3 linked regions of the Drosophila melanogaster genome follow. The protein of the gene in region 1 purifies or fractionates together with the protein of each later gene. This does not show direct contact. Each region holds a gene or a part of one and is shown in the gene's direction. Other genes may lie near its edges.

Region 1 (9,936 bases):
AGGCATGTAAACAATCTCTTAAAATAAAACATGGTATAACGATCATTGAAAACAATCGCAATCGTACGACATAAAAACCATGTGTATACTATCCAAGTCACGATGGTAAGATAAAAACAATGAAAATGTGCTTGGTTTTCAAGCACACATTTCGGCACCGACCAATAAAACTTAATGGGAGTATGAGAAACTGGACCCTGGCATTCGAATACACGCCATTGCGATTATCCGGAGATTATCCTTACCTTGGTGTTGGCGGCGGGGCGTCCCAACTCGAACTTGCGCTTCTTGCGGAGCGACTTGCGCTTGCCTCCGGTGGCCCGGCGTTTGTGTGCACTATCGCGGCTAATACCTGGTGATTGAGAAATAGGTCCATGTTAGTACAAGGCGCACGGAAAAGTCGAAAAAAAACCAAGAACATGGGCACGTTTGGGGGCGCACTAAAAAGAGCCGCACCAAGTTAAATTCACGGATATTTATTTAAATTCACACATTCCCCGTTGCTTTTTTCTCGATGCTGTTGTAAACGTACTTTGTGCGCACTTTCATGGTGTTTGCAGGCCGTATTGAGCCCATTTTCTTGATATTTCGACGCAATTTGCGAGAGTCGACTTACCCATGTTCGAGTAAAAAGCGAGAAAGAAAGGAAAAGACACGCACAGCACCTCGTGTCAAAAAAGTAGGGTTATCTTTTTGACAGTTGCCGCGGTTGGGCAACTCTGCGCTGTTAGCGCGCGCTCTACAGTACACTCGGTGCTGTTACATTAATTCAAATATTAATTTTTAGCACCTGGAATCAGTGAAATTTAGTTAAAAATGTATGAAGCAATGTGAAACCAATTATTTTTATGAGCCATAGTGGTAGATTGTATTTACTAATATCTAATTATATTGCTTTACAATTAAGATATATATCAGGACATGTATTTTGGAATACAACAGGAGCACTTATTTAATTATAAACTTAACATTTGAGAATACCACTACTGCTGTCGAAATATATTACCCGTTGAATAAGGTGTGGCCAGCTTGCGTTCGTAACAGCTCGGTAAAATGTTAGCTTGTGGCTTCGCGCACACGGTCACACCCTCATTTTGCACCGAAAATAAAAGCAATTTGATAAATAAACGCGACAATTGCCACCAAATTGGCCAGGAGCAGGCGAAACTGCAACTCCCGGATTTGCGGAAGCAGCTATGGTTGGGAAAAACTTCAAGGCTCTAGCGCACTTCCACCGACTGACCGAGTACATAGTTCAGTGCAAACACTGCGAGAAGACATTGTCCTCCAAACACACATCCTCCAACTTGACGCGCCACTTAATCCGGAACCACAAGCTCTTGGCCCGATCAATTTTTGCCGGCGAGGAGGGTAAGATGCTGGCGGAGCTGAAGGACGAGCTGGAAGCCTCCGCCTCCGAGGACCTGAGCATGGAGCTCGGAGAGGGCGAGACCAAGTCGGCGGTGCGCGGCATCATGAACGCGAAGCTCGAACAAGAGCAGATGGAGCGGCACAGCCAGGAGGAGATGCGCAACAAGGTCATTGGGAAGAACAATAAACTGTGGGCGCACTTTATCCGCATCTCCGAATTCATGGCCAAATGTATGCACTGCGGCAAGACGCTCTCCTCGAAGCACTCGTCCTCCAATCTGATGCGACACATTGTGCGTCGTCACACCAGCCTGGCCAAGACGCTGAATCACTCGCACCAGCACCTCATGACACCCAAGAAGGACTCCTACGCCAGCCTGGAGCGTAGGCAGGCGGCTGATCCCCTGGAGAAAGTCAACTTTGACGATGTGGACAGCATCATCGAAAAGGTGGCCGATCACCTTGAAGAAGAGGTTTGTCCACGGACCACTTCCGCTCCCCTACCCACATTTAGCCTCTACATGCTTTCGATCTTTGATTTAAGGTCACTTCGATTTCGCTGCAGGAACCCTTCTACGAGTACGTTGTGGACAACTCGGACTCCGTGGTGGTGGACAGGTGCGATGAGCCGGAGCCGGCGGAGATGCAGAACATGATTCCGCAGGACAGCGCCTCGCTGGCGGAGTCCACCACACAGCTGGACGAGAAGCTCAAGGCGGAAACGATATACTACAACGAGATGGCCGAGTTGGCCAGGGCCAAGCGGCGGCTCATTGATCTGCAGACCAAAAAGCTTCTCCTGGACATGAACGTAGTGGACAACTAGCCCATCGACGATTGGAACGGCTTGTGTTTGTAGGTGGATAAGGCGGGCAATATGATTATTTACACTTAGGTATGATTATACTTTAAACGATTTTATGATCTGAGCATTTATTGTGCGGGGGATTAATTTCCACGAGGGAAGGGCATAGAAATTGAAAGAGAAGTAATTTGGCCATTGCATGTTATTCTTATGTCCTTTTATTAATTTATATATTATTTGTAAAAAGTGCCGGCTTAAAAGCGATCATTTCAGCTCGTAAATAAACTTCACCGTTACGCTTAGAGTTAGTAACAAACTGTAGCTCAATTATGTGTTATTAATATGCTTAATCTAGGATTCTACTCATTGTAACTAAACGCACATTCAATAGTGAGCACTGTACTTAAACGGTGGGAAATACCGGATATTTGCACTACAAGATTAATAATTATGTTGCGGTCACACTCCTCGATAACTTCCAATATCGAAGTAGGTTGTGTCAGTTATCGCTAGAAAGCAGGCAGAGATTTGTTTACTTCTGCGAAGATTAATTCAGCAGAAGCACGGAAATACGGATCCTTAATCATGACTAGATATTCACGTAAAAACCAGGCCTTGCTTCAACTCCCCGTTCCTTGGAGAACAGGAACGTAAAACCGGCCTATAAGGGTATGTTAGCCGGGTATCTGGTGCACCCACATTATTAAGTTGAGACCCCTCTTAGTTTCCTAGGGCTTGGAACGGAGGGGGAAAGTGATACTTCAAACGTGTCAAGGAGTAGGGTAGAACGCTCTTGATGTGTTCAGCGCAGAGCACCAATCAGTAGCGATCAGCAGCAACGTAAGCGAAACGGACCATCGGACTCAAATGGGAAGAATCACAAACGGAGATGCAGATGCATCTGTCTATTTAGGCCTGGAAGTACAAGGAGTTGATCCAGGACAACCCGACAATGGCCCTGGTAGACGAGCGCCACGCAGACGGCTGCTTGCTCTTCGAAAAGTGGTGTCAGATCGAGGCGAGGCTGGCTCGCATTGTGGCGGATAGACGGGCGGCGGTGCCTCAAGGACCTCACCCGTTGCTTGACTCCTCATTTGTTATTCGAGGACACCGGATGATCAGGTGCTAGGACGGCTTCTCTAAGATCTTCCTAGAGGATTGCATTGAGCAATTAGCCGACGCATGGGATGGACTATGCATTAAGCTTGTTCACGCCAGCGAAATACCCAGTTCAAGTCAAGCGGCCCGTTTTGTTCATCAAGTAAGTAAGAGCTTTTCCTGTTTGTACAAAGACAATACAGTTTATGAAATAAATAAACGATTGAAGGAACGAATTTGGATTGTTTTTAAATTCCGCCCTGGTTTGCGCCACCGCTGATTGTCTATCATGGGTTGCAACCACGTGGAACTACAGTTATTTTTAGGCCTTTTTTCGCGCTTCGATGGTAAACACATTTTGTTTATTGCTTAGCTCTGAGAAACCAAGACGCAATAATTGACAAAATGTCCAGTATTTGGACAAAAAGGAAGGACTCTTTCTGCAATAACGAAAATATAAGGGCTCAGAAGTTCGAGGATGTGATTGTAATCGATGACAATGGTAAGTCGTGTGTTGTCAGCCTTCTCGATGCTAACTGCTACACTTGGTCCTTCAAGATCGTGGCGACTCTCTCCGGAGTGTAAAATCCGAGCCCCCTGAAGAAAAGCCCCGCTTATCTCCACAGGACGCTAATCAAAAACGTGCAGTAAAGGAGGAGAAGGAAATGTCCAGGCGCGCACGCGCTCGAGCCAAGAAAATACGGAATACAGAGGCAAGAGCAGCGAAATCGGTGGTTACCAGGGGTGCGGGTAAAAAAGCAAGGAAGCGTAAGAAGCAAAATAAAGCGGCACTCAAGAAGGCTAGTGAACTTGAACCCAAAAAGGCAAAGGGCTCCAAGGAGGCTAGTGCCCACAAGAAGGCAAAGGGACCCAAGAATACAAGTCCTCCTATGGCTGCGAAGCCCAATTTGGCAAAGAGTGACAACCTGACGATGGCCCTGGTGGACGAGCTCCACGAAGACGGCCGTCTGCTTAACGAAAGGTGGCAGGAGGTCGAGGCCCAGCTGGCGTACATGGTGACTGACAGAGTCATGGCCATGCCGGGGGGTCCCGTCCCGTCCTTCGATAGCTCAGACGTAGTTCGTGGCCACCGAGTGATCCGGTGCGAAGACGGATTTTCAAAGGTATTCCTGTCGGACTGTGTTGCCGCGATTAGCAACTCGTGGCATGACATGCGCATCAAGCTCGTCCATGTCAGCGATGTACCATTTGCGCCTCAGGCGCGCATCTGGTTGCCCACGGGTCAAACGGACCACAACCGGATCATGATCTGCTTGAGAGCCCAGAACCTAAATGTGGACATGTCGGACTGGTCCATCCTCAGGGCGGAGGAAGTCATGGAGATCAGTCAGAGTTTCCTGCTCCTTATCAACCGGAGGTGCATCCCGCAACTGGATGCAGTGGACTACAAGTTGCGCTATGGCATACGAATGGCCCAGATCCAGCTCATTTTAAGCGAAGCAGACGATTTGCCATCGGAGTTCGACAACTACCACCCATTTTGCCATTTTCCCCATTAAACCATAAATCCTCAGGCTCTAAGCTATGTTTATTAGAGTAATAATATTGTTAGAGAAAGAAACGAATTTCATAACCTAATAAATCTCCAATTGGTTTTAGATGCCAACTTAGACAGCATTTTTATCAAATTTAACCTTAATCTTAAGATATTTTTAAATATAGAAACTCAACATGGGAGGTGGGATACCCTCTTTTGGTTCATGGCGATGCTGACTGGTTGGCAAGCGTGACAACGTGTGGGGTATTTATGCTCTACTTTGCTGTGGTCACACTGTTTCCACAGCATTTTATTTCATTTCGCTTCGTCTGAAAAATCAGAGAACAATTTCTAAAAAGCGGCAAAAATCTTGAAAGGACGATGTCCAGCTTTTCGCCAAACCAATTGCGGCAGTGCGCCCGCTTCACCGGCACGCCCTGCACTCCGGACAAGGAGCACCAGCTGCGGGAGCAGATCCACAGCGAGCTGGTCAAGATTAAGTACTGCGCCAATCCCACCTACGAGTGCAGCCTGATGCGGATCGAGGGCTACGAGTATTGCATCCGACACATCCTGCGCGACCCGCGCTCCAACTTCCGACAGTGCTCGCACGTCTACTCGAACGGCAGGAAGTGCATCAACGCGGTGGCCAAGTATGACAACAAGAAGGAGCTGATCCTGACGACCCTCTGCTTCGAGCACAACCGGCAGACGCAGCTGCAGAAGACGCACATGAATGTGGGCCGCATTCGCAGCCGGGTGGAGACCAACGAGACCCTGCTGCACAGCCTCTCATCGCACATTAATGTGGAGGACATAAAGCCAGAGGTGAAAAAGATCGAACGCGATGATGATGAAATCGATGTGGTCTCACCCCACGTGACGCCATTTGGTATGTCTTGCTGACTATAAACCGAGCTGAAATCTAATTTTCCTCACTTCTAGTCACTCAGGATCACCGCAATTCCATAGGACATGTTGTGGAGAGCTCTCGCAAGCGACGTCGCATTTTGGATTATGCTTCCGATAGTTCCAGCAACGATGCAGATCCGCCCTGTCTCAGGAACACCGCCCAGGACATTGAGTTTTACGAATCTGACCATGAGAGTATCGATTCGGAGGATGATGATCCTTTGAAGTAAGATTTGATTTATTCGTAGCACTATTTTTTAAGGAAATTTTAATTTTTTCTTCTCCCTTGTAGACACGCTGGCGTCTTTACACGCGCAGAGGCAGTAAAGATTGCCGAAACGAAGCTGATCAAGCTTCAGGGTCTTTACCGCGAGCAGATTTCATATCTGCAGAACGTGCTGAGGCAGCGACGTCGCAAGTATTTGCACGATATACGACGCGAGCGAGAGCTATATTGTAAGTTTCACTTGCCTTTAGGTATGCAGGATAATGTGTCTTATGCCACACTTTCAGGCAGCATTCACGATCAGCTAAAGGACACGCCACACGAGCGAAAGCTGTACGAGCAGCTAAAGGCGCTGAATAGCTATCATCGACGCCAGGGCGTCGAGGCGGTGCTCTACAAGAAACTGAAGGAGAAGCGAGCTCGCGACGCCTTGTACGCAGCCAAGTCGTCGAGCAACCCGAAGTGCGTCTTCACCGAAGGCGGTGTCAAGTGTGGTGAGCGAACGCTGCCCTGCTGCAAGCACTGCCGCAAGCACATTCTGGAGGATAAGCGCCAGGTGCTGTTCCGAGCCTGCGGCGTGGAGCGGAGTGGGGTGGTCTGCCAGGAGCCAGTGGCTAGCATTCTCGAAGACTCCAGTTGCGTACTGCACCTGACCGTGGCGCCGGCTAAGCGCCAGTATATACAAAAGGTGCGTTGATCAAACACTAACCCAACCCACGCCATAACCACCACAAGTAACTGCTTATATATTCCAACTGTCCACTCACCCATTGCCATAAGTTGTGTTGCACATGACTGCTGAAACTATAGTAAGCCAACTGTAAGACAGTTCGAACAAACAATACTGCGTAACTAGTATTTAGGCTTGATTTGTAGTAAAGCTAAGTATATCTAGAGAAACAACACGAAACACATGTATATAAGTGCTAGTACTGTCTAAGCAAGCCCTTTGTGATCGACCCTGAATAAATTGCCGACCTCTCATCCCCCAGTTTTATGAAGTTCCCAGCACTCCGCCGGTAGAAAGTATTTTCGCAGCAGGCCGTGGTCTCGATAACTTTGTCGGAGAAGACCCACGGAATGAGCCGCAGCCGGAGGGGGATGACCTCTTGGATTTTGCCAATGGTATATTCGATTTTGACCTTGACGGAGTTGACGATCTGGCAAACTCCCTCGACGATGATTACTCCATGTTCCTGGACATGGACAGTGACCTGGGCTTAGCCATTGAAGATGACGGTGTGGAGAGCGATCCTGTAGACTTAGGCCTCGAGGAGGAGGGCGATGGCGGGTCCAACGACTCAGTTGGTCCAGCTGAAAGTCAGGCTCAAGATAACCTCATCGCAGACAACTTTGAGTTAGAAGAACCATCCGTGCAAGACAATAACGAACTTAACTTTGATATCGACGAGTCGGAGAGCAATGTGAACGAAGTGTTGCGCTTGCTCGAGGGCATAGAACACATGCCCTGGTTCGATGCCCTCATGAACTAGTCTAATAGCGTAGTAAACGTAATAACCCACCATACTAACCCAAATCCAGAAAAAAGCCCAAAGTATCTCTTCTTCTCATGCTTGCAATTCCCTTTACTTCACAGAAATGCGAATCGGAGACCGAGGAGGAGGAGACCCAGTCCACCAGCTTGATTAGCACCATAAAAAAGGAGGAGGAGGACCCCTCGGATAAGCTGTATACGAGTCAAGCCCTCAACGTGACCACCGCACATGGCGAAGACAACAAGGGCGACGTGAAGCCCAGGGAGTACGCCCCAAACAGATCTTAAACTAATTTTTAAGCCCTCGTAGATTAAATGTTTACTGTTGCAATCATAGAAACCTAGATATAAATCTCCGACACGAAAATGTCAGTTGGTTTTGTACTCAGCCATTGTAGTTTTTGGTGCATTCGGGTGTAAGGAACCCCTAATAAATAGGCACTCTTAAGTTAAAAATCTATTTATTTACATTTATTGGCTTTCCATAGTTTATACAACTTAAACAGTTTATATTAATGCATGTACATGTTTTCAACAATTCCTAAAGAAAACGACTGCGTCTGGCAGTTTCGTAAGTGTGTGGGAAGTATGCACTCTGCGTTCGCTTAAATATAATGACTGTAATTATTTGATCTTAAGCACGGTTAAATATATTAGTTATCAGTTCCTCCATTCTGCATCTCCGCTCAGGTATTTACAGATTGCTCGTGCTATGATCATAAATTGATGGCAACCGCTCTCGTTGTTAAAATGCACTATTAAAATTACAAATTGGCAGCTAAGTATATTAACAAGTCTGTAAAATGTATCGAAACCAGAATATTCCTAGTGTATTCCCTACAGTTCCGTAGTTGTTTCCACCTCCGACCTATCCAGATCGTTTAGATATGAGAACCCTATTTGGCCATAGTCCCTCTTCCCGAAGGACACGTTCTCATTGGTGCTGCTCAGGTGGTTGTGATCGGAATTGGATCTGCAGGATAGAGGGTGTTACCAATTATAGTTATAGTTATAAACTAGGAAGTAAGCTATGCATACCTTTGAAACAGCGGGTTGGTGATGGGCACCTCTCCGCCGTACAGGCGATTGTTGAGCTGGCCATTCCGACCCAGCGTGGCGTTCATCAGCTCCCCGTTGCCATTGAGCAATCCCACGTCGCCGAAGGTGTTTCCCCGCCTGCCCATGGTGCTGTAGGCATTGTTCTTGGCATGGGCCATGTTGTTGGGCCCAGTTGGGTCTATGTTGTAGGCGCCGTTCTGGTAGTGGTTGCTGTTCTGGTGCTTGATGCGGCCCAAAGTCAGGGTGCCCGAGAGGGCTCCGTTCGGCGGAGATGCCAGCGGATTGGCGTTGTTGCGGGTGTTCATCTCCAGGGTTCTATTGAAGGTGTTCTGCCTGTTGTTGATGGCCAGATTGTTGTTCATGCTGGCGTTATTGAGATTCTTATGGCGGCGCAGAGTGGCAATCGTGGCCGTGGTGGCATCCGAGTGGGAGGGACTGGACTGGCCACCGCCGTTGGTGTTCTCCTTGTGCGTTATGTAGCTAACATTGTCCAGCGAGAAGGCATGGTTCTTGGCACTAAAGTCCAGCTGCAGATCATCGTCCACATCCGGTGGCACTGCCATGGCCAGCATCTGGGTCTCGTACTCCTTCATGTTGGCTATGGTTTCGCTGGCACTCGAGGCCTGCTGGTTAACGATCACGGGATCGTAGCGGGGAGGATTCGTGGAGGAGTACTGGCGCATCCGCTGCTTGAAGTTCTTGTACCTATAAAGAGCAAGTGTGTATGCAAAGATTTAAGTAAAAGTAAATAGAGGTTACATGTTATCCACTCACTTTGACCAAGAGATGCATATGTAAATGATGCCAATCGTGCCCAGGATGAGTATAACAAGTGATATGGCAATCAGAGTGAAGGGGAAGACTTCGTTGTCGATGGCTACGGCGGCTTTGACCTGGAAGTGCCAAAGCTATATATAGTATATCCTAAGAAAAAGTAGTAGTAGAATTAGTTGCCCACCTTGTGAACGTGCTCCTTCCTCTCCAGGGGAAACGATATATTCTCGGCTGTGGCTCGCGGCAGGGCTATGTTCAGCTCCGATCGCGCAGCCGGTTCCAGTAAAGTGGTCTCCACAATGCTGTCCTTACGGCTGACGAGCTGCTCCGTCTTGGGATCGATGAGGTAGAACCATATGTCCGTAGCAGCCGGGTTCTCGATCACCGATCCGTTCTTGGCCAGGTACTTCTGGCTGCTCATCCGTTCAATGCCGCTGACCAGGCCGGTCTTCTTGTCCAGCAGCTCCTCCAGCTCCGTGTAGTAGTTGCGGAGATCGCTGGGCGCTGCATTCGGGAAGGATAGCGCCATGCGGTTGATGTCCGCCAGCTTATTGACCACTATCCTGGCCCTCGTGCGATGGGATCCCTGCTCCTGGCCATCGCTATCACGGGCTTCCACCAAAAAGGTGAGTGGAAAGTCGTTTTCGTTCTTGAAGTGCTTGGCAGTTCGTAGAACTCCAGTGTCTTCGGACATCATG
Region 2 (11,535 bases), on another chromosome or scaffold:
CTTTTTCTGATCCGCCAGTGCCTGCTTGTCCTTTGGCCTGTAAAACACGTTCTGCACACTGAGCATCGAAACAATAGTCAAAATCTCATCGGAACACTGCAGAGCGACGGACATTATAAGCATCTTGGATAGATTCGGCTCGAGGGGAAACTCCGCCATGCGTCTGCCCAGTCGAGTAAGCAGGCCTTCGTCATCCAATGCTGATAGGGAATGTAGTTGCTCGAGCGCCATCACCAGCGATTCCACAGGCGGGGCGTCCATGAAATCAAAGTGCAGCAGATCGTTAATTCCCATTGTCTTTAGTTGGAGTACTGTTGTGGCCAAATTGGTTCGCTGGATTTCTGGCACCGGCGTGGGCAGCATTTCATCTCGATACGCACGTTCCGTATAGAGACGGTACGTTTTTCCTGGGCCTGTACGTCCGGCTCTTCCCGCTCTTTGCTTTGCTGCCGCTTGTGAAATGGGAGTGACCACCAGCGAGTCCATGCCCGTTTTCGAGTTGTACACCTTCTGTTTCACGAAACCAGGATCTACCACATAGAATATGCCATCGATTGTAAGTGAAGTTTCAGCAATATTGGTGGCTATAACAACCTTTCGGCTGCCAGCGGGCGCAGGATCAAATATACGGGTCTGCATTTCGGATGGCAACGCGGAGTACACCGGCAGGATAATCAGCTCGGGGACATCCGGTCCCAAACTCTTCATTCGCTCGTACAAAATTTCACAAGCCGTGTCGATTTCTTCCTGACCCGTAAGGAAGAGCAGAATGTCACCAGGAGGTTCTCGCAAATGGATTTGCATCACTGTAATCAGAGAAGCATCCAAATAGTCCGTCTCTGGTTCCTTGGTATATAAAACCTCCACGGGGAAGGTTCTTCCGGGAATTGTGAAGATTGGCGCCTTGAAGAAGTACTGCGAGAACTTCACCGCGTCCAAGGTGGCTGATGTGACAATTAGCTTCAGTTCTGGTCGCTTTTGCACGGCTGTCTTCAGCAGGCCGAAGAGAACATCAGTATGGATTGTCCGTTCGTGAGCCTCATCCAACATAATGACCGAATAACTTTTTAGCTCCGCCTCCATTAGGCACTCACGGAGCAACATACCGTCAGTCATGTACTTAATTATGGTTTCCGGACTGGTGCAATCCTCGAAACGAATGGTGTAGCCAACCTCCTGGCCTAACCTGCAACCGTACTCCTCCGCCACACGCTTGGCCACCGACATGGCAGCCACTCTTCTGGGTTGGGTGCAGCCAATCTTTCCTCTAGCAGTAAATCCACATTCGCCTAAATACTGAGTGATCTGTGTGGTTTTTCCCGAACCAGTTTCTCCAATCACAATAAGGATCTGGTTGTCCGTGACCGCTTTGATCAGATCATCTCGCAGTTTGTATATGGGCAACGACTGTCGCTGCTCCACTAGCGTCAGATCAGTCTTCTTACCGAAGGAGGATTTCTTGCCGCCAATGACATGCTTTTTCCATTCTGGAACTTCAGGAGGAGCAGCAGCCATTCCTCGCATGTTGGCCGCCAGGCTGCGGCTCTCATCCTCCGGCAGTGGGTCTATCCAGTTCTTATTGAGGCTCGTTGGCATAGCTTCTATCTCTTGTTCACGCTGCAACATCTTCTGCTCGCGACGCTCCTTAGACAAAGCCGACTGCATCATGGCAGCTTGAGCCAGTGAGCCATCGGGATTCTTTACAATTCTCACTGGAGACAGATCATGTAAGGCTCTACCATGCCCGGAGAGGAAGGGTGGCTCCTCTTCCACAATCTCAATCTCGATATCAGCTTCGTCGTCTTCGTCTTTCGGCAATAAGCCTGTTTCCTCGTCGAAATCAGGCATCTCACTTCTGTCCAACACACCGGAACTAATCATTTGCTTGATTTCCCAGCGCTCAGGGCTGGAGATCCTAGTCACACGTTTCCTGGACTCGTGCTCGTCACCTTCCATTCCATTGCCTTGCAAATTCAGCATCGATGTGCTGCTGCTAAAGGGGCCATCTGGATTTCGATCTCGTAGAGACTCATCGTCTTCTGGCGCGTGTGACAGTGGATTAAGATCCTTTCCAGAGTCCTGATCCACCTCTTTCATCGACAAGGACACTTTTTGACCAGTTATTGACATTACTTTCACTTTAACAGTCTGATTCCGAGTGACTACCTCCGTTACATCTGTCACGCGTCCTTCTGCTCTTAGTTGTGAGATGTGTACTAAGCCTTCCCAGCGTTTCCGCAGTCCAAAAAGCTGTACGAAGCAACCAAAGGGTACAATATTAGCTATCTTGCCGGAATAGATCTTGCCCGCCTCCGGATCATCGGTCATGGCGGCAGATGGTGGGGGCATCTTTTCACTGCAGTCCCTCGAACGATCTCTCCTATCTCTCCGTTCTGTGGAACGAGATCGGCTTCGTCTTCGGCGTTCGTGGTGATCTCTTGAGCTGGAACTCTTGTGGCGTCGATCTCTGTCACGATCGCGATCCTCGCGAGACCTGCTTCTGCGGCGATTGTCTCGGGATCTGCTGCGACGACGGCGTTCCTTGTCACGCGATCTGCTTCTGCGGCGATCAGAGTGCCTATCCTCCCGCGACCTACTTCTTCTTTTTGTGTCTCGATCCCTACTTCGGCGCTTGTGGCGGTCCCTGGAACTGACTTCTTTGTGTGGTCTTACCAATGTGGCACCCTCGCCAGGGGCCAGCGCTTCCAGCTCCATCATAGCTGCATCCACATCGCTCATATCGGTTTTTTTGTGCGTTTCGGAATGCTTCTCCGGTTTCGCCTTCACCTTCTCATCGTCATCGCTCTCCTCCTTTTTGCTGTAGGTGTCATTGGGCAAAGCGAGGCCGGGAAACATTTTCAAAAGTTGCGATTTCTTGTCTTCCTTCTTGTCGCCGACAGTTTTCTCCTGGCTAGCGCCGCCAGGTCTGCTGGGGCGCATAAGATTAATGATGCGCTGCAGGTTCTGGACCAGGGAGTCTGGGAATTCGGCGCCATTATCCAGCAAAGCCTTGCGAAATGTGTCATATGTGCGATTTTTGTTTTCTAAATCGATGATAAACTCGGCCAGGTCCTTGTCGTTGATGCCCAAGTGGTTGTCTAGCTCAGTGCAAATCTTCGAGACCAGCGAAAGGTACTCCAACTTCTGCAGCTCGTCCATGCCTACGGAGAGTACTAGTTCAGCTAAAATTTACAAAATTTGTGGAAATTTTAGAAAATTTCCCGCTGAAACTAAACGTGATCAGCTGTTTCTGCACGCAATGGTGTTGCCAGGCGCGTAAAAACAACGGAACGAGGTGGCAGCACTAGCCCCAATCACTCGGTTTCTGACGCTACGCTTAATTTCGTCGCGTTTTTGTTGTCAAAACTAAAAACAATCTCTATTTTAATTAAAGATACATCGAAATATGTCTTCGTTCTTCGATTGCTTCAATGATTTTCTGCAGAGCGGCGGCAACTTAGTGCAGAATGTGTCCCAGGAGCAGGAACAGAAAATCGCGGACCAGGAACTGGACGGCGTCATAGAGCTAATGCCGCCAACCACCCCCACGCCCAGCGAGAGTGTAAGTAACATCCTGAATAAAGGAGTAATTGCTCCACTTGCCCCACATCAAATATATTCGTTTCGTTGGCGTTTTGTTGTGAAATAGAATAATTATCAGCGCGGGGCGTGAGGTTCGGGGTAGCCGCGGTGTTGCCGGACTAAAGTTCTACTGTTAGATGTGGCAAGGCCACGTTTGGCACGCCATATTTTGCTAGAAAGAAAATTCGCAGTTGTGTACTAGGAAATACCAGAAAATCAATAAGAATTGCTGGTAAAATTGGTTAATATCAGTGCGAATCGCGAGTGACCTTTGATTGGGCCGTAGGCTAGCGCCTTGTGGCATTCCCAGCTGTTTCTTACCATCGCAAGCGCGACAACGACGTAGAAAAGAAGAAGAACATCAATTTGGGGGTACCCAGTTAACGCATTATTAATTATTAAAAATTAACTATGAAGGAATCGGGAAGTGTCAGCAAAAATCAGCCGCAGACCTCAGAGGCCAGAGGCTCGATTATAACCTACAGTCCCAGCAAATTTCTGACTAGCGTTGGAACAGGCAGAACGACATACAGCACACATACACACACAACAACAGCAACGTCGGCGGCGACAACCGCAACAAAAACAAACAATTTACCAATGGGCGGATCCAGTGCCGCTTATTATGTGGTAAAGGCTGGCTCCCTGGGCAGCGCTGCCTCCATGTCGGGTTGCATCAAAGTCAGTTCTCCGCCAAAGGGGCCGCCGATGGCTAAGTCGCCCGCCCTGGTCGTTACATCGCCCTGCACGCCAACAGAGAGTGTAATGTTTAAACTAAAGGCATCATATCACCCACTAACCAGCACTGCATGCGCCCTAAGATCCCCAACCGAATCACTCACCTCACTAATGTACCTTCTTGTCGGTATTAAACACTAATTAATGCTTTTATCCTTTAGTCCAGTACCATTTCGGCCCCTAGTGAATCCTCCTTTAGCGAGAAAATGGAGCACAGCTATATGCGAGATACGCCAGTGCGCAGCGATGTTCACAACGGCCTAACGCCCGCTAGGAACATTCTGGTCCGCCATCCGCCACAGTGTCCCAGTTGCCACACATATCCGCCGCAGCACGAGGAGCTGTCAGAGATTCAGCAGGCCCATGTGCCGCCCTATGATGAGGTAGTCGCCAAGGAGGCAATGAATGAATGCGCTCGTATTGCAAAATACGTAAAGAACAACAATTCGGATGAGCAAGATTGGGTGGCGCGCGTTAATAAGTAAGTTCTCGACCTTAGTCAATAGAAAAGCTTTACCATTCAACATCTCCCACCACACAGATTTAATTGGACGCCCATGCAGGAGATGGTTTTCGAGAAGGTCTGCTCAATTCTGGACCAGGATCAGTTGGCACGCTTGGCCAACGACAAACGTCAGCACGAGCCTATCCATCGTCGCATAAGCTCGGACAAATCCGCGTCCAGGTTTCGCAAACTTCTAGCCAGCGTGGCTTGGGAGTCACGCATTACGCAGTGGATCCATGCTCTGCTCATGGAGCACTTGTCGCCTTCGTATATGGCCTCTTATCTGGAAATTCTTCAGACTCTGAAGACCAAGTTGCCCACTTTAGTGGACAAGATGCTGTTTGGTAGGCCCTTAAATAATAGTCAGGAACTGCTGGCACCGGTGATGAAAAAACGATGGGAACCAAATATCATGCCCAAGTCCCGTCAGCTAACGCATAACGCCATCATGGTGGTGCTGCCCAACATGCCGACAACTGGAACAGTTTCGGACCGCATGCAGAAGTGGTACCAGGCATTATCTACTATCACTCAGGTGGTTCAGATTTCGCTGCCGAATACAAGTAGGTTTACTAGCAGAGCTATCTAGATTATCTTATTTAACCATTTCACTTTTATAGACAACAGAATTGGGAATCAGAATCTGGACCATGTGGCCGAAACCATTGTGTCTATCACACGCGTCAAAATCAACGAATTGCGCACAGAAAACCCCAGTCGTGGCATCATACTCGTTGGATTTAATGCTGGAGCTGCCTTGGCTCTACAGGTTGCTCTATCGGAGAGCGTTGCCTGTGTGGTTTGCATGGGATTTGCTTACAACACAATACGTGGGCCACGCGGAACCCCCGATGACCGCATGTTGGACATAAAAGCGCCGATACTCTTTGTCATCGGACAAAATTCCGCACGCACAAGTCAGGAGGAAATGGAAGGGTTACGCGAACGAATGCAGTCCGAATCTTCGTTGGTCGTAGTGGGTAGTGCAGATGATGCACTGCGTGTGCCTAAGAGCAAGCGGCGAATAGAAGGCGTTACACAGTCGATGGTTGATTACATGGTTGTCGTAAGTTCAAAATAGAATATTTGTAATGAAAATACTGTATTTACTTATGATATAAATTGCAGGAGGAAATCTTTGAGTTTGTGAACAGAACGCTAAGCAATCCACCTGGACCGCGTATGCCCACATGTTTAATGCATCAGCAGGGCTACCAGCGACTGCCAAAGCAGTCACCTCACATCCTGGCCGATGGAAACGCAAACAAGGCTGTTCAGCAGATGCGTAAGCGAAAGATGGACGGTGGTTTAGACGACTCAATGGGTCAGCCTTCCAAAACAAAGTTTGTTCCTCACAGTAAGTATCAGTTTTCCAAAATTAGACCATTAAATCGCCATAACCTTATCATCCTACCATCCATCCCGCATGTTTAATCACTAACCACTTAACCATAACGTTCCCAATCAAAATTGTTCCTTCGACGAAGATCGCGTCCACAAGCCGAAGCCACCGCGCCTCATTGATCCGTTTGCTGTGAAGCGAAAGGGTAAATTCATCTCGGGTCTTCCTCTACTGCCACTTGTTGTTTGGCTCGCCCGATTCATAAACTAACATTCTTACCCCCTCAGTTGGAAGACCCCGAACACGCCCCCTTCCCAATGTCGGTGGCTCGGCACGCTCTGTTAGCCAAAAAGGTGCACCTCATCCCGACCAACCAAAACTGAGCGGCGAAGAACCTAACCAATCCATTGAATTCATACTAGATGATGCCCAGGACTATGGAGATGCCCAAACCACTGCAGGTGGTTCAGCGAGCCTGCCAAAGGTGATAACTCCCGGTGTTTTGGGAAAACAACTGCCGCCCGTCAATCTCGCAGCTGGCACCAAGATTAAGATGATCCCATCCAGCCAGTTCGTTCAAATCAAATCGCTACCGTCACAGAGCAAACTCATTAACTACACGCTAAACAAACCGAGTGTCGGGACAAGCAGCACCGCCAACATTGGCAGCGTGGTGAAGACCCTACCATGCTCATCCGTTAGTGGCCAGCAGATCATCACCTTAAAAACGCCCTCGGGACAAACGCAGCAGTTTGCAACAGCAGCCACATCAACAGGTGCCGCTGGTTCATCGACATCAACAGGAACGGGACAGAAAAAGTACACAGTTTTTAAGAACGCCAACGGCATGACCATGCTGCATCTCACCAAGAGCGTACCCACTACAGGTTCTAGCAGCGGCTCTGCGAATATGGATTTGTCCAACATTATCGATATGCCCATTGTTTTTGCCGATAACGAAGGCAATATTCCCGAGCACCAACAGGCGGATAAGGATATTAAACCAGGTGCGTTAAGTGTTATGGTTTATATACTAGATTTTAATTAAACATTTTTCGCAGCCCCCATTCGAAGTGCGAATAAGAGCCCGTTGATCATCAGTCAGAAAATCATTAAGGAGGCAAATAAGCCCTCGGGCATGGTTACCAGTGGCAGCATTACTGCCGTCAGCAAGCCGGGGAATATTGTGCTTAACAAAGGCCTTCAGCAATTGCTAAATTCATCGCCCGGTGGAACACTTGCCACTCAGAATAAAGTTGTGTACCTCAACCGGAGTACAATTAAGCCAATGGGAAATGTGGCGCCTGGTACTCATCGTGTCCCTATAAGGATTGTGAGCACCCCAAACACCGGAGGTGCAGTGACGACCACAGCTTCCAGTAGTCCCATTATGGTTGATCCAGCCACAGGATCCAAGGTTGCCAAGACCGTCAATGTGCAGACAATCAAGCCTACTGGTTCCGTTCTGGCTCAAGGCACCATCCGTCAAGCGGGCAACGTGGGCACCAAGAGCTACCTCCAGATGATCAATACCGCACCTGGTGCATCCAAAACTGTTGCTGGCGACGGCAAAGGTTCTGTACGAAATATCTACTTTAAATCGGCAACCGGACTCAAGCAGTTGCCAGTGCAGATGCTAGGCAATCGAATACCGGGTGGCGCCGTCATTTCGTCAACCGCATCGGCATCTTCTGGATCTCCTGGCTTGCGGCGAGTGGTAAACATTGGGCCCGTTTCCAAGGTGACGGCCACGTCGACAACATCATCGTCGATAGCTGCTACTTTAACCCATAATAAAATGTAGAATTGGACAATGTTTTAATTGCGTGCCTGATACATTTTCGTACTTAGCCGATATCTGTGTAAATATGTTAAGCCATTAATTAATTAGTGATTAAGGGGTCTTGAATTACCCTCTTTCCTCAATGTCAAGGATTATAATTTCGTTCATATAAAGAACAAATAAAAAAAAGTCGACAAAAAGTTTATTTTTATTTAAGTTCTGGGAATTCGGAGAACGCTTCGCTTGCAAACCTGTGCAAATTCCATGTCTGGGATTTGGGTTACCATATAATGGTTCCCCGGTCCTATGTACAAACCTTATGCATACATGGGTGCAATTGCTGAAAAGCGACGGAGCAGTACAGGAAGCAGCAGCGGCGTGGGAAATGTATTCAAATGCTTCGGCTCGAAGTGCGTTAGTCCAAGATTTCTCTGCCATTTATGAAACCACAAGTGTGTTCACACGGCTGCTCTGCGACCAGTGCTGGTAAAACTGTATTCTGATGACCGATATTTTGCTTAGAATTGCAATTCGCAGCTCACTGCCGGCAGCTTGGAAAAAAGTCTAGAGTTTCATTGAAGTTTCGCGGGCAAGTGTATGGATGGTCCTACACATACTTGTATATATATATATATCTAAATATATATATGTGGGTTTCTTGTTAAATGCCTCTTTAGTTTGTGCAGTACACTTTAACCCATTTGAGGTATATTCTAATATATGATGTATATTTATGCAGAAAACTAATTTAAAATCTCATATCTCCTATTATTGTTTTTGTCGGTATTTTAACAATATTTAATATTTTGGTATTAAAGTGCTCTTAAAAAATTGCTATTATTTGAACGATACATAATCACGATACAATAATAATCATAAAAGAATTTAATTTAATATTTACATTTAATAAACCGTTTTTTTTTTTTGGACCTAAAGGGTTAAGTGCACTTTTTGACTAGTCAGCAAATTGCAAAGTGAAGCTCTCTCAAAAGCCAAAGAACATTTTCGCGGATCCCGAATGCCGCTTGCGCAGATTTTGAGTTTTACTTGTGATTTCTTATTTGCTTTAGTATCCAGTCATATATTTTATTACATTGTATGTACAGTCCGAAATCGTGTAGATATATAGAAACACAATTATGTATAGCACTGTATTTTTGAGGCGTCAAGGGTAATACGGACATTTCGAAGTGCTTGGAACTTCAGTAGCGCGACAAACGTGATCACGAGCAGATCGTCAAGGATTACAAAGTAAAGCTGCAAGGATACTGAAAGGATCCAATTGGTTGGTTCAACCAGAGTTTTCAAGGATAATACAGTGCAAACAAAAGGATTTAATTGGGTGATTAAAAACAAGTGCATTCTACGGTTGTTTTAACACAAACAAAAAAAAAAACTTTTTTACCCACTACTTTTGGCAAATTCAAATTAATTTTATGAGTTAAAAGTGAAATTTGCATATATGTAGGCAAGTTAAAATATCTCCTACGATTTTTGCACCATTTTTCATGTGACAAAAAAAAATCTTGAATATTTTCCTGATCATTTCCCAGCGACTTACGCAATTGGAAAATTATGTGGAGAGTCAGCCGGGCGATTCGCAGGCACAGTAAATCGCCAAAATGCCAAGACCCAAATCGAATTTGATTTAAAAATGTCTTTAGCCGGCTGCTGGTTGCATTCGCAATGCAATTTCGGTTGCAGTCTCGCTTCGCTTACCACCTGCCGGGAGCATTTGGCCCATACCTTAACTTTGGTTTCGCTTTTTTTTTTTGTATTCACTCTGGTCTTAATTTGTGGCAATTTGTCGGACCAGAAACCCACTGGGCCAGCAGCAGCCAGCATGTGCGTTTGTTTATGGCTTATTATTATTATTTTGTGTTTAGCCTAATTTCGGCGGCAAGATTGTTGCACATTTGGTGGCCTTTTGATAACCAGACTGTTCAACTTTAATTTATGGCTTTCAAATTAAAAATTCATATTCTTATGTAGTAAATGTTCTTAAAATCAAATTGCGTATAAATTTCAGATTTATGCATTACTCAAAATACAAAATACAAAGAGCAAAAACTCTTTAACTATGCTGCTAAAACTGTAATCCTAGTAATAAAACTCGGCTTCCAAATCCTTTCATTAAATTCGTCGTGCTTCACTCAACTTTTTCCATTCCATTCCCTTTTTTTTTGGGGAAATTCAACATCCTGGTAAAGGACACCGCAAATCCTTCACACAAATCCCCTGCACAAATACTAATAAGCTCGGTTATTCGAGCGAAAAGCTGTGCGAAAAGTGGGTGGAAAAGCTGCACTTTTGATTTCGCATATTCCGGGCAGAAGGAAAATGAGAGTGGGTGCAAAATCCTGATAGTTGCCCTTACAAATGCACCCCCCCCCCCACCCTTCTCTCAACGAAGTTGCCCATTAAATAACGCTTAATAACATGCAAATGATGTGAAAGTGAGCGGTGGAAAAGCGGGAGGAAAATGGCGAATGCCACTTACATTGCAAACTGGCGAACTCCATTCCGCCCATTTTCCACCCACTCCATCTGTGCTCCTCCATTTATTCAATGTGTGTCTGGCACTTTCAATATTTTCCAGGGCAAACACTCGCCGGAAAAGAAGGAAAATCAGCAGGAGGAAAAACAGGAGCAGCTTGATTACGCCAAAAAATTGATTGCGCCAGAAAGGAAAAAGTGGACAAGAAATTCTGTGCTTTTTTCGCAAATTTTTATCTGTCTGCCATTTTTTATTACCGACTTCAGGTGCAGCAAGATGTCATTTTAGTGTAGCCTTAATTTCATGTTACCTTTTAAACAGGATTTTGCTTTTTAAATTATATACTTATTTTGTAGGTCTTTTTAAATTACGATTTCTTGGTACTCGAGATAGTTTGTATGAAATATTTATATTTTCCAGCATTTTATTTAAGTACAAAGATTTTGGGAATCGGCCACTACCTTGCAGTCACGTGATGAAAAGACACAGGTGACACTGATCCGGATTTGGTAGTTGACAAATCCTCCATGCCGAGATTAGTTTCATTTTGCGTCTTTTGAATTCGAATAGTTCATGTGATGTGACGTAGTGGAACATACCTGAAATTACAAGCAACACGAAGTGAAACGATTATTTAAGGTAACGCTGATTAAAGGTGTTTATTTTTATGGATTAGTTAACTTAAAAAGCAATAAAAACTGGTTAATTTCATATCTACTGTCATTTGTTTTGAAGTTTTTAATGCATTTTATATGTTTTTGCGGACTATATTATAGTTTATTTCTAGTTTCTGTTGGTTGTAAAATTAAAAAAAGTTCTCTTGTCATTGTCCAGCTAAAACGACTTACTAAAAGTTTCGTGAAACTGCCAGGAAACTGACTTTGCATTATGGTATTTTGTCGCCTCTTCGCTCACCTGTCGCCACCCACCGTTCCTTGAGTCTTATTCCATCTCATGGATGTCTGGCGGGAATTGTGTTGGCCAAAAGTTTGCCACGTTAAAGGAGACACAACGGTGGCAGAAGGAAGCCTTCTGATCCACCACCCCCTTCCTCGCGACAGGACAACCTTGAAGCATGTGCTATTTTT
Region 3 (11,407 bases), about 18 Mb from region 1:
TTTTTAGTGTGAGAAACATTGTAACAATCAACGGAGCTGATTGTATGCAAGTCGAAATTTGAATACCCTGTACTACAGAGGCAATAAATTTAGAGATTGATTCATTTTGAAAAATTCCTTTTAAATGTTTTGAATAGATTGGAAAATGGTTAGGCCAGAAGTATTTTAAGCTAAAAACTTAAATGTTAAGATTAGTAGATTAGTAGAATTCTAGCGACTTGCTAGAATTTTTGATTTAAGTAGATACTCGTGAATTTGCACCTATGTATGTATATATTTTAAGAGCAATCTGTAACCCATTTATAAATTGGAGCACGGGGAGAATGGCCTAATCTTCAGTGGCTGTTTAACCAGCAACCGTGAATGATAAGTGGCCAAAGTGGTGCAAAAAAAGGGGAGGGGGGGACGATCGGTGGGCGATGGGTGGCGTTTCTTTGGCTTGCGCATCATTTTGCACCACTTCGCTTTGAATGGCCGTTGAATGGATTGGGCTAACTCCCATCTAATTAGCTTCACAAACACGACACCACTTGAGCCAAAATCGTTTTTGGCACGGAAATTTCGAACTTTTTTTGTGTGCTGCGTCTCCTGTCTCTTTGCATAAATAAATGCATTTTACGCTATTGTTTGCTTCGTCTCAGAAATGTATGTATTTGCCAGTGCTTTTGTCGCTTTGCTCATTGCATAATCTCAACTGATGTGTTGACCAACAATTTATGTCGATTGAAATCGACATAATTGAAATGTAAAGGTCACTTATTAATCAATAAGTTCTGTGGCTACATTAAATACGCACCTATATAACAACTAATCGTACTTATAATTTTAAATGAGCTGCCAAACGTTACATAATGCCGGCCATAAATAGCCAGAAGATATACCCAAACACACTTGCCATTGCATAAGCATAAGAAATGATGCCCATCTACATTATTTTCTCCACAGCTTGGGACCCAGATCAAGGTCAGCCCCGATGAGTACGAAAATTTCACCAGTTGAAAGTGAAGAGTAAGCCGAGCAAACCCGAAAACCCAAAAACCCAAAACCCAAGCTCAATTCACGCATTTCAACATGATCGCCTCGATAAGTTTTGTCTCCTCCGCGCGTTATTTTCTTTATTTTTACATCTTCAACTCACGTGCAGTTGAGCATGTCGACCGAACACAGCCGAAACCAAAAAATGGCGGTTTTTGAAAAAGCAAAGGTATCTGTTAAATCGCACTTTATGGCAATCGGTAAAACGGCAAAAGTTACACGAAGGCAGGTGCCGCTCATTACCTGACACATGTATCTCGTTGGACACTTTGGGCGGATTATGCTGGATGCTGCTGGGCCAGCCGCGCCCATTTCTCAGAAATTTCTATAATATTTAGCAAAATATTTGTATCGATTATTATTAAACTATGCCACAGAGGTGGGTGTTAAGTAAAATTATTTCAATATATTGTACACAGAGTTTGGAAAAATCCCAATTGCTAGCATTGAAAAAATTCCACATATTAAATTTCAAATTTCAAATGACCGGCGTGCAATGCTGAACGACAAAGAGCAATAAAAATTATAATAAATTAGGCAACCCATTTACATGGTCAACACGTGTATTTGCTTAAGCCATGTCTTTCGGGCAAGCATAATTTATTTAATTTGTGTGAGCTACTCGGCGTTACATGAATTCCCGTGGGCACTCTCAAGCCCAAAATGATCATCATCATTTAGCGATAATATTTTTGGGTAATAATCATGTGATAAGGAACCGGGAAACTGGGCCCAACTGTCAAGAGACGCGCAGCCAGCCTATTACCGCATTGCATGCCCTCATATTTACGCAATGAGTTCCCAGACGGTATCGGAATGGGGATCGGGATCGGGAGAGGGAGAGGGAGAAGGGGCTGACTTATGGGCTATGCGGCTGGGACCGATGAGATGAGGCTGGGGAATGGGCCTGGCCAATTTGTCGATGAGTTGGGTAAATATTAAAGGAGAAAGTGCCGCCGTCAGTTGGACCAAAAGTTTTGTACTCTCCTTGTACATATTTCTGTTTTCGGTTTTCTGTTTTTGAAAAATATTTTTGCACAGGTTACATATTGTTGAATTATTTGCACAAAAAGAGAGTGAGGTCAGGTGCAGTCGTCCCAATTTCATCGAGTGTCGATAATTTATGCAAATATGTTCACTAATAGTTATGCAAACGGAAATCTAACCGTGTTTACCACCCATTTTGGATTTCCCTTCGAGTGGCCCCCTCAATGTCAGTTTTTGACTGACCAAAATTTATAAAATGCTAAATTATTCGGCTTAGCAACGTCAATTACTCACGTTATTTAATATTTATGTCAGCTGCATATGACAATAAAAGCATTTTATAATTAAAGTTTGCTTTATGCTCCAGCCGTGATTTGATTACAAATATTGGCAATCCACTGAATCAAAGTCAACACCATTTGATATTGGCTCCGTGTCAATTTCGCAAACACGCCCAAGATCTAAAAGTCAACCGATTGACCCAGAGACCTCGTTTTCAGGGAAGTACCCAAAAACAGGAAGCTCTTCGACCGTGAGTTTCCGGCTATCATTCTAAAACAATATTTGTAATGGAACTAAACTGTTTAGTTACGGAATTCGAGGGGTCAAGCCACATATATACATAAGATATTGACACAATATAGAGAATCTTAATATTTTATTCTTTCAAAATGTGCCATCACATTTTCCTCACATATTTCGATTTGAAGGCCAAAGCTCCATACTTCAATCGATTTTTTTGGCGGCTCAATCAACCGATCAAGCAGCAGGCGCCACATTTAAATTTGTCAGTTGTTTCTTGCATGCTAATGACCGGGTGAAATATTGTAATTAAAAACTACAATGAGTGTTTATTTTAGCAGTATGCGTAAATAGCTGCTCCTCAAACTTTGAAACCCAGTGTTGAAATACATATTTCCAGAAGCATTTGTCGAATGGATAATATCGTATTTGGTTAGCTTTTTGCAAGGTGTCTGCCTTTTGGCGAACGTGGTGACATGTAAGCCCAAAAGCGTACATTAATTGCATTTCAAATAGGCTTTCGGTGGCCTTGGGAACGGTGGCGTATCGGCACGTGATCCTTTTTCCGCCGAGCTGAGGAAATTTATGGCACCCTCACTTCGCTAAAATGCATTAACGCACCGATTAATATTAATTGTGCAGCGGGTATTTACCAACTTTAATAGTTAATTTATGGCAGGAAGATTGATGTAAAGTTTCATGAAAATTGAGATAGTCAGAAATAAAAAGTAATTAAATTCAACCTACTCAGGCTCTAAAGTAATATTTATTTATTTATCGAAAGTAGTATTTATTTATCACCACAATAAAGATCTATGCAATAAAGTCATTTAAAATTTATTTTTTATAAAATTCAAAAAATATCGTTAAATAGTTTTGAACTTTTCCAACAAGGTGGCAATATCTAACTATCGATAGTTTGCCGACGCACACGTTTTTACTGTACCCCAATTTGGTATCACTAATTTATTGCGCTGTATTTTTCTGGATAATTTTCGCGTCGTTTCCTGGATTATTTCATCACTTAGCAAAGTGTGCGTTTGCACATAGGCAAACAAAATAGAGAATTGGGTGAACTTCATCGCCATGGGCCGCCGGTGCTGCGTGGCCAACTGCCCGTCGACGTCGCGTCTGTTGGAGCACAACGGCGTGACTTACCACTCCTTCCCCCTAGATCCCATCATCCGCGCCATATGGATCAAAAACTCTCGCATCAGCCTGGAGCGCCAGATCACCAAGAGCGTGCTGGTCTGCTCACGCCACTTCCGCCGTTTGGACTTCAACACTATCCGCAATGGGAAGTATCTGCTCAAGCCGCGCGTCTTTCCCACCGTTTTTCCATGGGGCAAGATGGATACCGCGGAGATCGAAGCAGACCAACGGGCACTTCAGCACGCCAGCGTGGAGGGAACGACTGAAACCCCGGGAAATGCTCAGTCATCGACCAATGACGATGTGATCAAAGCTACGGTAGACCAAATAGTTGCGCAAATCCTGTCGGAATCTGCAGAACGCAAGGCCACGGAGGAAGGTAAAACAGGCAAGGCGGCGGATGACGTTAAAAATACTCCCGAAAGTGGAGAAGATGCAAACAAGGCAGCTGCAAAGGAACCCTCAGGGACTCCGGTAGCCGCAAGCAGCGAAGCCACAGTCCCAGCTCCTGGATCCGCTTCCAGTTCGAACTCACCTTTGCCCGGCACACCGCCCAAGTACAGCAACCCACATAACCTGACTATTGGCGCCCGTTTGGAGGCGCTCAGTGTGGAAGGCAACTGGTTGCCCGCCCGCATCGTGGAAGTTAACGAGACGGAGCAGACGCTACTCGTGCGCTTTGAGCGCAATCACAAGCTAAAGGTGTCACCTTCGACCAGCGGCAGCTTTCAGGAGTGGATGGCCATCAAGTCGGAGCGGCTGAGGCAGCGCCTCAGCAACCGTGTGCTGCCCGTCTTTGAGCTGGACGAGAAGTGCATGGCCCGCTGGTCGGGGCCGCGTAAGTTTCCAGGAACCATACGCAAGTTGCTGGGCAACGATACCTACGAGGTTCTCTTCGACGATGGTTACGTTAAGAACGTGCGCGCCGTGCACATGAACAAGATGCCCAAGCAGTTGCCCCCTGTTCAGGTAGCGGAAGAGGGTGCCTCAAAGTCACCCACTCCTGTTGGAACTCCAGTAAGCTCTGCACCTGTGGCTCCGAAGCGGGCGAGCACAGGCAGCCTTGGCGGATCCAGTGGCTCTTCGGGCAGCAAGAAGAGCAAATGTGCACCTCAGCGCAGGGATTGGCCGTTGCTGGACATGGCCAGTTTGGATATAGGTAAGAGCACCGAAAGGAGAATGTTAGTTTTGCCTTAAACTTAACTTTCATGTTTGACTTTCGTAACCAACAGCATCCCTTGGACTCCCAGAAATACCGCATGACGGCGAGTGGACTTGTCATTGGGTAAATGACCAGCCTATTGGAACCGAGGGTTTTCTGATTGTGGGCGAGCACCAGAAACCCACTGTTATCGTGCAGGATTGGCGTCTGCCTCCTGGCTGGATCAAGCACATGTACCAGCGGTCCAACGTCCTCGGCAAGTGGGATGTTATTCTGGTCTCGCCCAGCGGCAAACGTTTCCGCTCCAAGTCCGACTTGAAGTTGTTCCTTGAGTCCCAGAATCTGGTCTACAACCCGGATGTGTACGACTTTAGCATCCATCGACGTCGTGCCAAAGACATCAATGCTTACGTCTACACACACGGCTACAATCCGCAGCCACCGCCCAAGCCCAGGCCCATGGATGTGTCGATGAACTCCACGCTGGACCAGAGCATCACGTCGCAACATTCTTTACCTTCTACTCCGATGCCGGTGAAAGAAAGCCAGTACATGGAAGCACCGGTGGCCTCGCTTATGCCACCAGCTGAGTTAATGTCGCCGCAGACGCAGCCTGCCGATGAGACAAAGCCCAAGATAGAAGCAGAAATACTGGAAGCCAGTGAGGGAGGTACCTCTCAGCTTATGTTAGCAGATCCTCATGTGGTGGAAAATGGCTTTGGTAAGTATATGCAATTTGAAATAACATGTGCTATATTAAAATAAATTATAATTCCATATTTCAGCTTTCATTGGGGGCCTAAAAGTCAAAATCCAAGACAATCTTTATGTATGCCCGCGCGAAGATTGCGCCAAGACCTATCGCAAAGAAGACTTTCTGCTAATCCACATTCGCCATTATCACAAGGAGTTTGCAGAGTGAGTAATATTCATTCAAAACTCATGACACCTAACTTACTTTAAATCTACAGACACGTCAGCCACTGTCCAAAGATGCAGGAACTAGCGGTCAAACGTACGCACCCCTCATCCATCGATCAAGTTGAGGCGGTGCCAAAAAACCAAATACCCAACCAGCAATTCTTTGCCAAAATGCACCAGCAGGATTTGCAGCAGTCACGATCGTTTAAACGACAGAGTGTATCAGCTACGGCCACATCTTCAACGCCATCTGACATAACGCCTACTAAGGCCCTGTTATCTCCTAAGATGGAGCCACCAAGTGTGTCGCCAACTGTTGAAAGTGGCATTAAACAAGAAGATGTTTCTCTGGATGCTGGTCCAACTCAGTCGTTTAATCCTTCATTGAGTCGTTCCTGCAAGCGTGCACGCTTGTCGCCGTCGAAGCGGCCATCTGGCTCGCGAAAGAGTAACCGCCAGCGCTCTCAGCGTCGTCCCATTTTGTCAGATAACCCGGCTGGTCATGGCTTAACCGAACAAGATGTTGAGGAGACACGGCAATCTTTTAACACCCCCACTCCGGATACGCGCATCGACTCGAAAAAACGCCGCAGTGGTGCGGCAACAACTCCCATCAGTTCCATTGACTCACCAGCCATGGGAGATTCGGTGTCCACGCCATCATCTAATGACCAGACCGACATAAATGCAGCCCTTGCCCCACCACCAGCTGAAACGTTAAGCAAAGCACCACAGTACATCAAGGAAAATGGTGAACTAATTCGAATTGTGCGCATGCGGCAGGAGGAGATCATTAACTGCATCTGCGAGTATGGCGAAGAGGACGGCCTAATGATCCAATGTGAATTGTGCCTATGCTGGCAACACGGTGCATGCAACGGAATTGTCAAAGAGGCAGATGTACCGGACAAGTATGTGTGCTACATTTGTCGCAATCCGCAGAGGGGTCGGGATTCTATGAGATTTAAGCACGACCAGGACTGGCTATTCGAAGGCAAGTTGCCGGTGGCCGCGTATCACACTGCAAATCCACAGGCCACCAAACAATTCGAGCTCTTGAAGCGCTCGCACACGCTGACCGGCAATTTGCTAGATGCCAAGCGATCGATGCACTCGCTGCTGGTGAAGATTAACATCGCACGCAACCGCTGTCATCCGAAGCTTTATCTATGGGCCAAAAAGTGGGACGAAGACAATCTGGACTCTACTGCGTTGACACCGGTTAAGCGTGCAAAATTGGAGGCCCCCGACCTTCCGAACGTTCCGCAACCGGAAGCTGCCATCGATCCGGAGGAGTGCCAGTACCGTTTGATCGAGCATATCAAGGTGCAGCAATCCTTGGTTCTCGATCGGCTGAATGACATAGAAGCCGAAATGGACGGTTAGTATCCAAAACTAATTTTTGTCACGAGTATATATGAATCTATATATATTTTTGAATTTCTTTTAGAACTTGAAAAGGAGGACACGTTGGATGACTTAAAGGACGCTGACATCTCGACCACAAAAGAGGCGCTGGCCACGTTTATTAAGGAGCTCGAAACCATGAAGCGCCTTGCCAAGCTCAACCAGGTGGCCAATATGAAGCAGACCCTCAGAGATTCTGCCACTAGCAAGTAGCATTTCTATTGATCACGGTTATAGGGGTCTAATGAGGATTTTCTTTTAAGCTATTTTCGAACTGTTTCCATAATTTTGCAGACGTGTAGATAGTAACCGTACAAGCTTTTTCTCTTCAAAAAAAATATTGCTATACTTTATAAAGTTTGATAATATAATGGAATTTAAATGTATATTCTTTTAAAGTTAACCATGTGAGAATACAGAAAATTATAATTTCATGCCCAATTATAAAGTTAAGATGCTTGATGATAAAACCTGACTACAAGACGTCTTTGTGACGTCTTTGTATTCGTGACTTGGTCGCAGTTATGTGTTGTTGGCAATCTCTTTGCTCCATAGCTTGGTTCGCCGCGATGTCGGCAGCCCAGGAGACGCTTTCCGACACCCCGCAGAATAGCACACCTTTGTTAGCCACAACTGTGTCGACCACGAAGGTGATAAGTTTCCGCCCTCGTTATCCATACATCGTCTCCATAGGAGAGAACCTTAAAGGATACTACAAGCACCTTTGCGTGGGCGTTATACTTTCGAATGAGTTCGTGCTCAGTGCAGCCCACTGCATCCAAACGAATCCAACCAAACAACTGTACGTGGCTGGTGGCGCCGATTCGCTGAACAGCCGGAAGCAGACCCGCTTCTTCGTCGTGGAAAGAAGATGGCATCCCCAGTTTAGGGTGCTCGGCGGCAACGACATTGCCGTGTTGAGGATTTACCCCAAATTCCCGCTCGACGATGTGCGATTTCGTAGCATTAACTTTGCTGGAAAGCCTCAAAGGGATAGTGGCACCCAGGCCTCGCTGGTTGGCTGGGGTCGGGTTGGCGTCGGCAAGATAAGAAAACTCCAGGAGATGCCCTTCTTGACCATGGAGAACGATGAGTGCCAGCAAAGCCATCGCTTCGTTTTCCTCAAACCGCTTGACATCTGTGCGATGCATTTGAAAGGACCGCGAGGTCCCTGCGACGTAAGTGGATCAGAAATACGCCAGAAATTCATAATCGAAAATCAATTAAAATTTTTTCAACAAAGAATATGTTTTCCAATTAAATTAAACAAACTACATATAGGTACATTTCAAATATTTAATCATTATAAAATTTGAAACTAGAAAACATATTCCAGTCAAATTCCTTGGTTTGCAATACGTAGCAATTTTTAAGAGGTATTTAGGATATTATTTATAGAAGTCCTATAATTTCTTACCAGGAACAAACACCAATGCTATAAAATAATTTTTATATCAGTTAAATAAGAGTTATTTTAATTTTACATTTCAGGGAGATTCTGGAGCTCCCTTGATGAATGTGGCAAAAGAGAAGCTGTACGGATTACTTTCCTACGGTCGAAAAGCCTGCACCCCATTAAAACCCTATGCCTTCACTCGCATCAACGCATACTCCAGCTGGATTCAGGAATCCATGGACTCTATGGCTGCGAGATTAAAAGTCTTACAAATTAATCGCACTGTATGGAAAGATGGGTTATAGCAGGTTTTACAGAAATATGTATGATCTTTTCTATCTAGGGTTACAATTAAAAGACAATGATTAATCATCAGGAAAGGATCAATATTATATTAAAAAATGTTATTTAATAAAATTTAATTTATAACGAATATTATGGGGATTTTTTTTGGCAGTGATGCGTTTTGGTGTGAATTGGTGCTCTGACCTCGCTATCGATACCTATCGCTTAGACGATGTGAGCTTGCGGCCAGTAGGTGGCGCGCTTATTCCATCCCTAGTTCGGCGTTCATATGAAAAATCAAAACAAAAACTCGAACAACAATTCTATATAAATAAAAGCTTTTTCCAATCGCTCTATTACTACGTAAGTGCCGAACCGTGTGGAAGCCACGCGACCGATTGTAATGTGGTCTAGGCTTATTCAAATATTTCGACCCCTCAGAAGTTTTCGAATGTCGCACTCACCGCCGCCGGCTAGCAATTGCGAGGAGGCTCTCATCCAGCTGAAAAACTTTGGATATGCATTCGATGGAGGTAAGTAGAATGTTGCACAAAGTCGCTACTTGACAATATGATCTTCCCGTTTGCCTCCTGCAGAAGGAGTGCTGCGCAAAGTCGATCCCGCCACTGGGGAGCCTGGCAAGGAACTCTTTTCCTACAACGTCAGCGACGACGCCGCCGAAAACGAGAAGCACTACCAGAAGCTAGCCAACGTATGTACCGCATTCAACCCACATTGCACATGAATATCTTCTGCCGAAAACTATAATCTATTAGGTTTCCTTGATGTCAAGGAATCCACACCTAGGACGAATCCTCTTCAAGAGAAACTAGACCACACAATTCCTTTCCACAAATATTATTACATATGCCCACGTGGGTAGGAATAAGCTTATACAAATACTGTATCCTTTATCGCCCATAGCAAATCCCAGAAATTGTCTACGCTTTGCTGGAGAAAAACGGTCTTAGTCGCACCTACATCCCTTTTGACCAGCCTCCAGAGCGGTCTTCGTTTGTATTCTCGCAACCGGCAAAGCTGTCGCAGTCCAAAAAGTTGCTAGTCCTCATCCATGGCAGTGGATACGTTAAAGCCGGACAGTGGGCCAGAAGGTGTGTATGTTCACTATTTAAACCAAATAATAGAAATGATAAAAATACCTGAATACCAATACAAATGATATTAACATACAAATACAAATACTTACATATTTAATTTTGTTATAGTTTAATTATTAACAATTCCTTGGACCACGGTACCCAGCTGCCTTATGTGCGACAGGCCCAAAAACTGGGATACGATCTCCTCATCACCAATGCCAACGATTGCACACGATTCTACAATGGTAAGGAGAATCCCATCAAGGGCGTCAATACGTCCGTAGAGCACGTTAAATATGTGTGGAAGAATATTGTATTGCCCGCGAAACCCGAGAGTGTGGCCATTGTGGCCCACAGTTATGGTGGCAGTCTTACTCTTGATTTGGTGGGTATAAAATTCCAAATATATTTCAACATCATATTTTAATCTTCTCTTTATTAGGTGGAGCGGTTTCCGGATTTCTTTAAAGAATCCGTTTTTGCCATTGCCTTCACTGATGCCGCCATGGGAAGTCCCCAAGCGAAGAACAAGGAGTACCTGTGCGATGTGGCCTGCGATTGGGTTGCCAGCAACACACCCTTAGACACACCCGTTTCACAGTCAAAGAGCAGCATCCGGAGGATTTCCGCTGGCCACACTAAGCACGAATGGACCTCTTACTCGGCCATCGATTCCGTGTTCAAGTTCATTGAGGAAAAGTATGAACAGCGAGCGAATAAGAAGTGACAGCCAGCATCTACTTGTTAAGGCATTTTTGTACTCCCCATTTATAGTAAATATCATGGAGATGTGAATATAAATTATGTTTTTACCGTCTGCACATAGCCGACACTGATCCCTTTTCTCAGAGGACAAACACAAACTATCGATTTGCTATGCATAAATCAAGCGAGTGTCCGAATCTGTCACTAACACTTACATCAGGCCAATTTAATTTGATTTTCGGCACTTCGGCACATTCCGTGTGGGTTAATCATATTGATGGCTGAGATGTATTGCCATCGATAAAACAAAAGTCTCCCGCTTGGCCCATCAGCTGGATAAAAAACTAGCATCCGGGACGAAAACAAATTCCCTCAACGGTTGGCGGATAAGGAAGGGCTGTCAACTTGGCCACTGCATCAAATGCCTTGGGGGTTGCCCCTGAAGACCACTTTCCATGGACTGGTTACCCCTGCCCGGTGCTTTGCTATTGTCCATATCGTTTAACTAAGTGCGTCATAAAAAATGACGACTGACATTTTTCCCCTCCTTAAGCATTGAGAAGTGAAATGCGTGGATTTTGTGTTGGTCTTGGCAGACCTAAAAGGTGTTTATTATATATAAAATGATGGAAGTAGTTTTTCTAATTTCAAGTTTACTTGACTTTATTTTACAATACAAGTTTTAAAAACTTTGAGTAGTAACGAAAGACTGGCAGCTGACTAATTATGTGGGCA

The links.
Region 2: the proteins of dgt1 (region 1) and Rcd1 purify together in Drosophila melanogaster (affinity purification with western blotting; 2 studies listed by BioGRID). This does not show direct contact.
Region 3: the proteins of dgt1 (region 1) and MBD-R2 purify together in Drosophila melanogaster (affinity purification with western blotting, with the first as the bait; one study listed by BioGRID). This does not show direct contact.

The regions. Positions count from the first base shown.
Region 1 is NT_033777.3:29,852,615-29,862,550, reverse strand, and holds dgt1 (dim gamma-tubulin 1), read left to right. Parts: upstream 1-5,059; 5' UTR 5,060-5,153; coding exon 5,154-5,664; intron 5,665-5,717; coding exon 5,718-5,910; intron 5,911-5,976; coding exon 5,977-6,140; intron 6,141-6,197; coding exon 6,198-6,598; coding exon of another isoform or gene 6,599-6,607; exon of another isoform or gene 6,608-6,902; coding exon 6,903-7,403; 3' UTR 7,404-7,421; intron 7,422-7,507; coding exon of another isoform or gene 7,508-7,693; 3' UTR 7,694-7,856; downstream 7,857-9,936. Other genes in the region: RpS8 (ribosomal protein S8), read right to left, coding at 246-352, 617-620; CG15514 (uncharacterized protein), read left to right, coding at 1,197-1,844, 1,916-2,197; CG7824 (uncharacterized protein), read left to right, coding at 3,680-3,776, 3,833-4,794; Cad99C (cadherin 99C), read right to left, coding at 8,243-8,378, 8,444-9,169, 9,239-9,357, 9,423-9,936.
Region 2 is NT_033778.4:14,144,873-14,156,407, reverse strand, and holds Rcd1 (reduction in Cnn dots 1), read left to right. Parts: upstream 1-3,699; 5' UTR 3,700-3,993; coding exon 3,994-4,344; intron 4,345-4,481; coding exon 4,482-4,801; intron 4,802-4,861; coding exon 4,862-5,388; intron 5,389-5,445; coding exon 5,446-5,891; intron 5,892-5,953; coding exon 5,954-6,182; intron 6,183-6,312; coding exon 6,313-6,372; intron 6,373-6,454; coding exon 6,455-7,174; intron 7,175-7,228; coding exon 7,229-7,971; 3' UTR 7,972-8,145; downstream 8,146-11,535. Other genes in the region: pea (peanuts), read right to left, coding at 1-3,159.
Region 3 is NT_033777.3:12,348,367-12,359,773, reverse strand, and holds MBD-R2 (MBD-R2), read left to right. Parts: upstream 1-3,508; 5' UTR 3,509-3,630; coding exon 3,631-4,855; intron 4,856-4,928; coding exon 4,929-5,579; intron 5,580-5,643; coding exon 5,644-5,776; intron 5,777-5,829; coding exon 5,830-7,160; intron 7,161-7,229; coding exon 7,230-7,399; 3' UTR 7,400-7,631; downstream 7,632-11,407. Other genes in the region: CG10041 (uncharacterized protein), read left to right, coding at 7,711-8,364, 8,678-8,887; CG10038 (uncharacterized protein), read left to right, coding at 9,271-9,400, 9,464-9,579, 9,792-9,979, 10,094-10,352, 10,410-10,694. UniProt on the Drosophila melanogaster protein: Component of the non-specific lethal (NLS) complex, a multiprotein complex that promotes expression of housekeeping genes on X chromosome and autosomes.